2 linked regions of the Xenopus tropicalis genome follow. The protein of the gene in region 2 purifies or fractionates together with the protein of the main gene of each other region. This does not show direct contact. Links are inferred from orthologs where the notes say so. Each region holds a gene or a part of one and is shown on either strand. Other genes may lie near its edges.

Region 1 (4,058 bases), about 190 Mb from region 2:
CCCCTAGGAGCCACCCCAGCGAATAGAAGCCCCCCCTAGCAGCCACCCCAGGGAATAGAAGCCCCCCCCCACCTAGCAGCCACCCCAGGGATAGAAGCCCCCCTAGCAGCCACCCCAGGGAATATAAGCCCCCCCCCTAGCAGCCACCCCAGGGAATAGAAGCCCCCCCTAGCAGCCACCCCAGGGAATAGAAGCCCCCCCTAGCAGCCACCCCAGGGAATAGAAGCCCCCCCCTAGCAGCCACCCCAGGGAATATAAGCCCCCCCTAGCAGCCACCCCAGGGAATATAAGCCCCCCCCTAGCAGCCACCCCCCCCTAGCAGCCACCCCAGGGAATAGAAGCCCCCCCCCTAGGGAATAGAAGCCCCCCCCTAGCAGCCACCCCAGGGAATAGAAGCCCCCCCCCTAGCAGCCACCCCAGGGAATAGAAGCCCCCCCCCCTAGCAGCCACCCCAGGGAATAGGAAGCCCCCCTCCCCTAGCAGCCACCCCAGGGAATAGAAGCCCCCCCTAGCAGCCACCCCAGGGAATAGAAGCCCCCCCTAGCAGCCACCCCAGGGAATAGAAGCCCCCCCTAGCAGCCACCCCAGGGAATAGAAGCCCCCCCTAGCAGCCACCCCAGGGAATAGAAGCTACCAGCCGGCCACACTAGGGTATGTTTGCCAATTTGCAACACTGTCGGGTTCCCCATCTCGGTGCCCTATTTTATCCAACGGTCCATCAGAAATGGCCGGCAGCCCAGTGTTCCCCTCAGTTAGGCTGTTAGCAACGCAATAGCCAGTCTTCAACTCCCACAATCCTCAGCAGGCAGCTGTATGTGGGAGACTTACCCAGGTAGGGAGCCTATGGAGGTGGGAGCCTTACCCAGGTAGGGAGCCTATGGAGGTGGGGGACTTACCCAGGTAGGGAGCCTATGGATGTGGGAGCCTTACCCAGGTAGGGAGCCTATGGAGGTGGGGGACTTACCCAGGTAGGGAGCCTATGGAGGTGGGAGCCTTACCCAGGTAGGGAGCCCATGGAGGTGGGGGACTTACCCAGGTAGGGAGCCTATGGAGGTGGGAGCCTTACCCAGGTAGGGAGCCTATGGAGGTGGGAGCCTTACCCAGGTAGGGAGCCTATGGAGGTGGGGGACTTACCCAGGTAGGGAGCCTATGGAGGTGGGAGCCTTACCCAGGTAGGGAGCCTATGGAGGTGGGAGACTTACCCAGGTAGGGAGCCTATGGAGGTGGGAGACTTACCCAGGTAGGGAGCCTATGGAGGTGGGAGCCTTACCCAGGTAGGGAGCCTATGGAGGTGGGAGACTTACCCAGGTAGGGAGCCTATGGAGGTGGGAGCCTTACCCAGGTTAGGGAGCCTATGGAGGTGGGAGACTTACCCAGGTAGGGAGCCTATGGATGTGGGAGACTTACCCAGGTAGGGAGCCTATGGAGGTGGGAGACTTACCCAGGTAGGGAGCCTATGGAGGTGGGAGACTTACCCAGGTAGGGAGCCTATGGATGTGGGAGACTTACCCGGGTAGGGAGCCTATGGATGTGGGAGACTTACCCAGGTAGGGAGCCTATGGATGTGGGAGACTTACCCAGGTAGGGAGCCTATGGATGTGGGAGACTTACCCAGGTAGGGAGCCTATGGATGTGGGAGACTTACCCAGGTAGGGAGCCTATGGATGTGGGAGACTTACCCAGGTAGGGAGGCCTATGGATGTGGAGACTTACCCAGGTAGGGAGCCTATGGATGTGGGAGACTTACCCAGGTAGGGAGCCTATGGAGGTGGGAGACTTACCCAGGTAGGGAGCCTATGGAGGGGGAGCCTATGGAGGTGGGAGACTTACCCAGGTAGGGAGCCTATGGAGGTGGGAGACTTACCCAGGTAGGGGAGCCTATGGAGGTGGGGGACTTACCCAGGTAGGGAGCCTATGGAGGTGGGAGACTTACCCAGGTAGGGAGCCTATGGAGGTGGGAGACTTACCCAGGTAGGGAGCCTATGGAGGTGGGGGGACTTACCCAGGTAGGGAGCCCTATGGATGTGGGAGACTTTACCCAGGTAGGGAGCCTATGGAGGTGGGAGACTTACCCAGGTAGGGGAGCCTATGGGTGGAGACTTACCAGGTGGGAGCCTATGGAGGTGGGAGACTTACCCAGGTAGGGAGCCTATGGAGGTGGGAGACTTACCCAGTAGGGAGCCTATGGAGGTGGGAGACTTACCCAGGTAGGGAGCCTATGGAGGTGGGAGACTTACCCAGGTAGGGAGGCCTATGGAGGTGGGAGACTTACCCAGTAGGGAGCCTATGGAGGTGGGAGACTTACCCCAGGTAGGGAGCCTATGGAGGTGGGAGACTACCCAGGTAGGGAGCCTATGGAGGTGGGAGACTTACCCAGGTAGGGAGCCTATGGAGGTGGGAGACTTACCCAGGTAGGGAGCCTATGGAGGTGGGAGACTTACCCAGGTAGGGAGCCTATGGAGGTGGGAGACTTACCCAGGTAGGGAGCCTATGGAGGTGGGAGACTTACCCAGGTAGGGAGCCTATGGAGGTGGGAGACTTACCCAGGTAGGGAGCCTATGGAGGTGGGAGACTTACCCAGGTAGGGAGCCTATGGAGGTGGGAGACTTACCCAGGTAGGGAGCCTATGGAGGTGGGAGACTTACCCAGGTAGGGAGCCTATGGAGGTGGGAGACTTACCCAGGTAGGGAGCCTATGGAGGTGGGAGACTTACCCAGGTAGGGAGCCTATGGAGGTGGGAGCCCACAAGCCGACATGAAGGAACCGCAGGACAAGGGCATGAGCTGCGCACCGTCTCCCTGCTCTCCGCCCGTACAGTCGCACCAGCAAGCCGTCACCTGACAGCGCCGAGATATGACGTCGTGAATGACGCCACCTCAGGATACGTCCGCGCATGCGCTTTCCGCAGGAAGAGGTAAAACTGAAACCTAACGTCAAGTGGGTGGGCGCTTTAGAATCCAATGGGCGAAGAGGTTGCAAATATTCAGAGCGGGTTTATATTAGAGAAAAATGCGTGTGGGTTAATAGACTTTTTACATATCATTTCTACAATACTCTTGTATTTGTGTTTTTTTTTGTTATTTTAGACTTTTTACAGTGACGGATAAAGTGGGCGGGGAATGGGAGGGGTCATCAGAAACACGGAGGCGGCCTTGTTATTCTCCAGGAAAGAAGAGACTTTCATTTTGCTGCCAGTGAAGCTGCAATGTGTATCTCAGGCTGCTAGGTGGCGCTGCTGCTCAGGCACAATGTACTGCTGGACTGTACCAACTGCTTTAGTGATAGAGAGTCTGTAGGAGAAATAATGGCAGTGCCAAGTCAAAGCAGTTCAGTTCAGAGAGGGGTTGTGCTTCCATTAACCGGAGTGCTAACAGATCCCTAGCAATGTGCCTGTCCATAGGGCGAACTTTAGTAGGACTGGCCTCTTTGCCACGCCCTATTCCACCTTGACCACACCCCCAATCATGTTGGAAGCTTTCTCTGTTTCTTGGGATGGTTTGAGTGTTTCAGTTCTTTCCTATGGAGAAGGAACATTGAATTCATTGGGGGTGCCAGTTTGTTAGGCCCCCCCACCCTCAACCAAGGCACCCCCACCCTCAACCAAGGCACCCCCACCCTCAACCTAGGCACCCCCACCCTCAACCAAGGCACCCCCACCCTCAACCAAGGCACCCCCACCCTCAACCAAGGCCCCCCCACCCTCAACCAAGGCACCCCCACGCTCAACCAAGGCCCCCCACCCTCAACCAAGGCCCCCCACCTCAACCAAGGCCCCCCCACCCTCAACCAAGGCACCCCCACGCTCAACCAAGGCACCCCCACCCTCAACCAAGGCACCCCCACCCTCAACCAAGGCCCCCCCACCCTCAACCTAGACACCCCCACCCTCAACCAAGGCACCCCCACCCTCAACCTAGACACCCCACCCTCAACCAAGGCCCCCCACCTCAACCTAGACACCCTCAACCAAGGCCCCCCCACCCTCAACCAAGGCACTCCACTTCGCAGAAAAAAAAATTACTGGACCAAAGGTTCTTTCTGTTTAAAGGGGAACTAAA
Region 2 (3,935 bases):
GATGGCACATAGGGTGGCAATTGCCCCCCCCAACCCCATTCTCCTCATTTTTAACCCTTCTGGACCCTGAGTGTGCACTCACAAGTCAGGGGATTACAGCAGCATCTACTCAAATCACAGCTTCATGAAAAGCGCCTCATTCCCAAACTTTAGGGGATTTAGTCGGGGCAGTAAGTCCTAGGCAACCTGTCGGCTTGGCCCGTCCACTGCCAACATCCCCCCTACCCCCGTGCGTACCGGGGGTTACAGGGGCCGCTGCACAGTCGGGGCAAGAGTCCGGAACCGGTGGTAGGTGACAGAAGAGGTACCTGCCTGGCGCCCCCCATCATTGCACCCTAGGTAGGTACCTCTTCTGCCTACCCCTAGTTCCGGCCCTGGTAATAGTAATAGGTTACATTATCCGCACTAGTGATGAGCGAATCTGTCCCATTTTGCTTTGCCATAAAATTCGTGAAACGGCAAGAAAACAAATTTGTCGCGTGTTTTTTTTTGTCTCCCCCGCTTTTGATGCCCAATTTTTATGCTTCTGCGACCATTTTTTATGTCCCCGTGTCCAATTTGACGCGTGACAAATTTTTCCACAGGCGAATTTTCACGGAAGCTTCGCAAAACAATTCGCCAATGGCGAAATGCGAAAATTCGCTGCGAATCCATGCCTGCCGAAAAAATTTGCTCATCACTAATCCGCACATAGGATATCCATATAGTCTTTCTTAGGGCGAAGACACACTGAACTACTTAGTAGCAGCTACTTGTCACGGCTACTAAACACCAGCAAATCCCCTGCCATAGACAATACTGAGAATTGCCTCTGCTAAAACACACGTAGAGACAATTATCAGTAAATGGTCAGCATTGTCTGTTTTAGTAGCCGTGACAAGTAGCTGCTACTAGTAGCTCTGTGTGTCTTCATCTTATTGTATGAATTAGCCCATCCTGAGCAGAGACCCCCATCCTGGGGCAGAGCAGCAATGCAGCAAATTGACCCCGATTTTAGGCCATACCAACTACCAAATGGCATCGCTTTCCCGGGACCCATAGAAGCCCATAGCCGGCAGCTGTGAGAGACAGAAGGGCCGGTACCCGCCCAGTGCCCGCTGCCAGCTGCCGCCTCTGATGTCAGGAGTGGGCGCGGCCGGAGGGGAGTTCCCTGGGTGGCAGCGAGCGATCAGTCAGCTGGGGATAAGCCGGCACTGGGAGCCGGGGAGAGTCGGGGACATCTGCCTGCGGCAGGACGCGACACTGCGGGAGTGGAGGCCGGTAAGTCGCCGCTAGGGATGTTCCTGCCATTCCCTGCCCGGAGCCGCAGCCTCAGCACCGCCGGTCCCGTCCGCCTCTCACACAAAGGGATCAGGTGGCTGCCATTCAGCCCGGCTACAGCTTTAGGGGCTCAGCCCCCCACACTGGGTGCTGCATAACGGGCTTTATTCCTCTAATTGGCTCCCATAGAGCTAAATAGCCCTCCCTTCTGTCAGCCCCGACCCTGCGGTTGCACTTGCCCTGCTTCCCCCATTGGCTGTGAGGCTGCTGAGAGCTGCAGTTCAGTCGGACAAAGTGGAACCTTTACCTGCTGGGGAATCTCACAGGGCAGAGACTGAGGTAAAGGGGACGTAATTAAACTTCAGCACTAATGAGGCGGCTAATGAGGGTGCTGGGTGATTGCTTTCTAAATTGTCCGACTTCTTATCCAGATGCCTCCCCGCCAGGGAGTGGGGGCTGTACATACATAGCATGTGGGTTTGTTTATACAGAGGCTGTCAGCCCTAGAGATGCTCCCTCTGGCCCTGGAACAGCCACTGAATGGGGCAGCATTACATTAGGGGTTAACCCTCCTGCTTCTAGGGAGTAGCCAAGGGTAGCAACATCGGGCCTTATTGCATGTCTATTGTCTGAGCTGTTTTAATAAAAGTCAGCCCCCCCCTCTCCCATGTCTGGGAATAGCAGCCGTACACACTGCGGACAGGAGCAGCTCATATTTTATATGGGGAGACTATTAATCAATAGCACCGACCGCAGGAACCCGTAATGTCCAACCACACAATCTATGTACATATATCTGGCGTAATTGGTGTTGAACTACAGCACCCAGCACCTTGTGGCACCCAGAGCCCTGTGGCACCCAGAGCCTTGTGGCACCCAGAGCCCTGTGGCACCCAGAGCCTTGTGGCACCCAGAGCCCTGTGGCACCCAGCACCTTGTGGCACCCAGAGCCCTGTGGCACCCAGAGTCCTGTGGCACCCAGCACCTTGTGGCACCCAGAGCCCTGTGGCACCCAGAGCCCTGTGGCACCAGAGCCCTGTGGCACCCAGCACCTTGTGGCACCCAGAGCCCTGTGGCACCCAGAGCCCTGTGGCACCCAGCACCTTGTGGCACCCAGCACCTTGTGGCACCCAGAGCCCTGTGGCACCCAGAGTCCTGTGGCACCCAGCACCTTGTGGCACCCAGAGCCCTGTGGCACCCAGAGCCCTGTGGCACCCAGAGCCCTGTGGCACCCAGCACCTTGTGGCACCCAGAGCCCTGTGGCACCCAGAGCCCTGTGGCACCCAGCACCTTGTGGCACCCAGCACCTTGTGGCACCCAGAGCCCTGTGGCACCCAGAGCCCTGTTTGGGTATTCGCTTTCCTGCATTGCTGGGCTGAAGGTGCTGAAGAGTTTCTGGGAATTTTAGTTCTACAACTATGATAAAGCCTTTTCTGTGTTAATTACAACTTTATAACCTGGAATGACAGTAATTAGGATAATCACTGACCCTCAGCATCAGATTCTGTGTTTAAACAATTCACATGGGGGTCCCTAGAATTTCATTGGTCGGGCAGTGCCCCTATACAGTACTTATAGAGATAAGAACCTTGGGATATTCCCTCAGAGATATCATGAGACTCAAAGAAAATGTAAAGGAGAAATAAACCCTAAAATATATTCTTTCTATGTGATACAGGAAAGTGCATTGGTTTCTCTTAGGCTTCAGAATGGCTCAGTATTGGGATTATTCACCCCTAAACACTGTATATAATTGGCCAATAGAGTGAGTCTCTGAATTCGGGGGTTCATTTATGAACAGTCGGAAATGTCATTTCGAATTTTATGATGCAGTTAGAATTTTGGTGCATGTCAGGGTTATATCAGCCTTGCAGTCTGCTGAGATTTGGGGTGAGTGCTTATTTGTGCCCTGGGTACCCCTGGAACTATAGGGGGGTGACTGTTACCCCAATGTTTCTATATATCTGTAACCTTGTTATGGGCTAAGGGGGCCCAGTCTGAAGGCCAGTTAGGGGGGGATTTGGGGTAAATGCTTATTTGTGCCCTGGGTACCCCTGGAACTATAGGGGGGTGACTGTTACCCCAATGTTTCTATATATCTGTAACCTTGTTATGGGCTAAGGGGGCCCAGCCTGAAGGCCAGTTAGGGGGGATTTGGGGTGAATGCTTATTTGTGCCCTGGGTACCCCTGGAACTATAGCGGGGTGACTGTTACCCCAATGTTTCTATATATCTGTAACCTTGTTATGGGCTAAGGGGGCCCAGCCTGAAGGCCAGTTAGGGGGGGATTTGGGGTGAGTGCTTATTTGTGCCCTGGGTACCCCTGGAACTGTAGCAGGGTGACTGTTACCCCAATGTTTCTATATATCTGTAACCTTGTTATGGGCTAAGGGGGCCCAGCCTGAAGGCCAGTTAGGGGGGATTTGGGGTGAGTGCTTATTTGTGCCCTGGGTACCCCTGGAACTATAGCAGGGTGACTGTTACCCCAATGTTTCTATATATCTGTAACCTTGTTATGGGCTAAGGGGGCCCAGCCTGAAGGCCAGTTAGGGGGGATTTGGGGTGAGTGCTTATTTGTGCCCTGGTACCCCTGGAACTATAGCAGGGTGACTGTTACCCCAATGTTTCTATATATCTGTAACCTTGTTATGGGCTAAGGGGGCCCAGCCTGAAGG

The links. The genes of interacting proteins can lie anywhere in the genome.
Region 1: the proteins of mapk4 (region 2) and fastkd5 purify together in Homo sapiens (affinity purification with mass spectrometry; 3 studies listed by BioGRID and IntAct, with this or other methods). This does not show direct contact. The link is inferred for Xenopus tropicalis from reciprocal best matches to the Homo sapiens genes MAPK4 and FASTKD5.

Annotation. Positions count from the first base shown.
Region 1 is NC_030677.2:12,511,492-12,515,549, forward strand, and holds the start of fastkd5 (FAST kinase domain-containing protein 5, mitochondrial), read right to left. Parts: upstream 2,803-4,058; 5' UTR 2,714-2,802; intron 2,340-2,713; exon of another isoform or gene 2,307-2,339; intron 1,990-2,306; exon of another isoform or gene 1,904-1,989; intron 1,869-1,903; exon of another isoform or gene 1,818-1,868; intron 1,540-1,817; exon of another isoform or gene 1,510-1,539; intron 952-1,509; exon of another isoform or gene 897-951; intron 877-896; exon of another isoform or gene 829-876; intron 1-828. UniProt on the Homo sapiens protein: Plays an important role in the processing of non-canonical mitochondrial mRNA precursors.
Region 2 is NC_030677.2:204,984,519-204,988,453, reverse strand, and holds the start of mapk4 (mitogen-activated protein kinase 4), read left to right. Parts: upstream 1-1,129; 5' UTR 1,130-1,260; intron 1,261-3,935. UniProt on the Homo sapiens protein: Atypical MAPK protein. Phosphorylates microtubule-associated protein 2 (MAP2) and MAPKAPK5.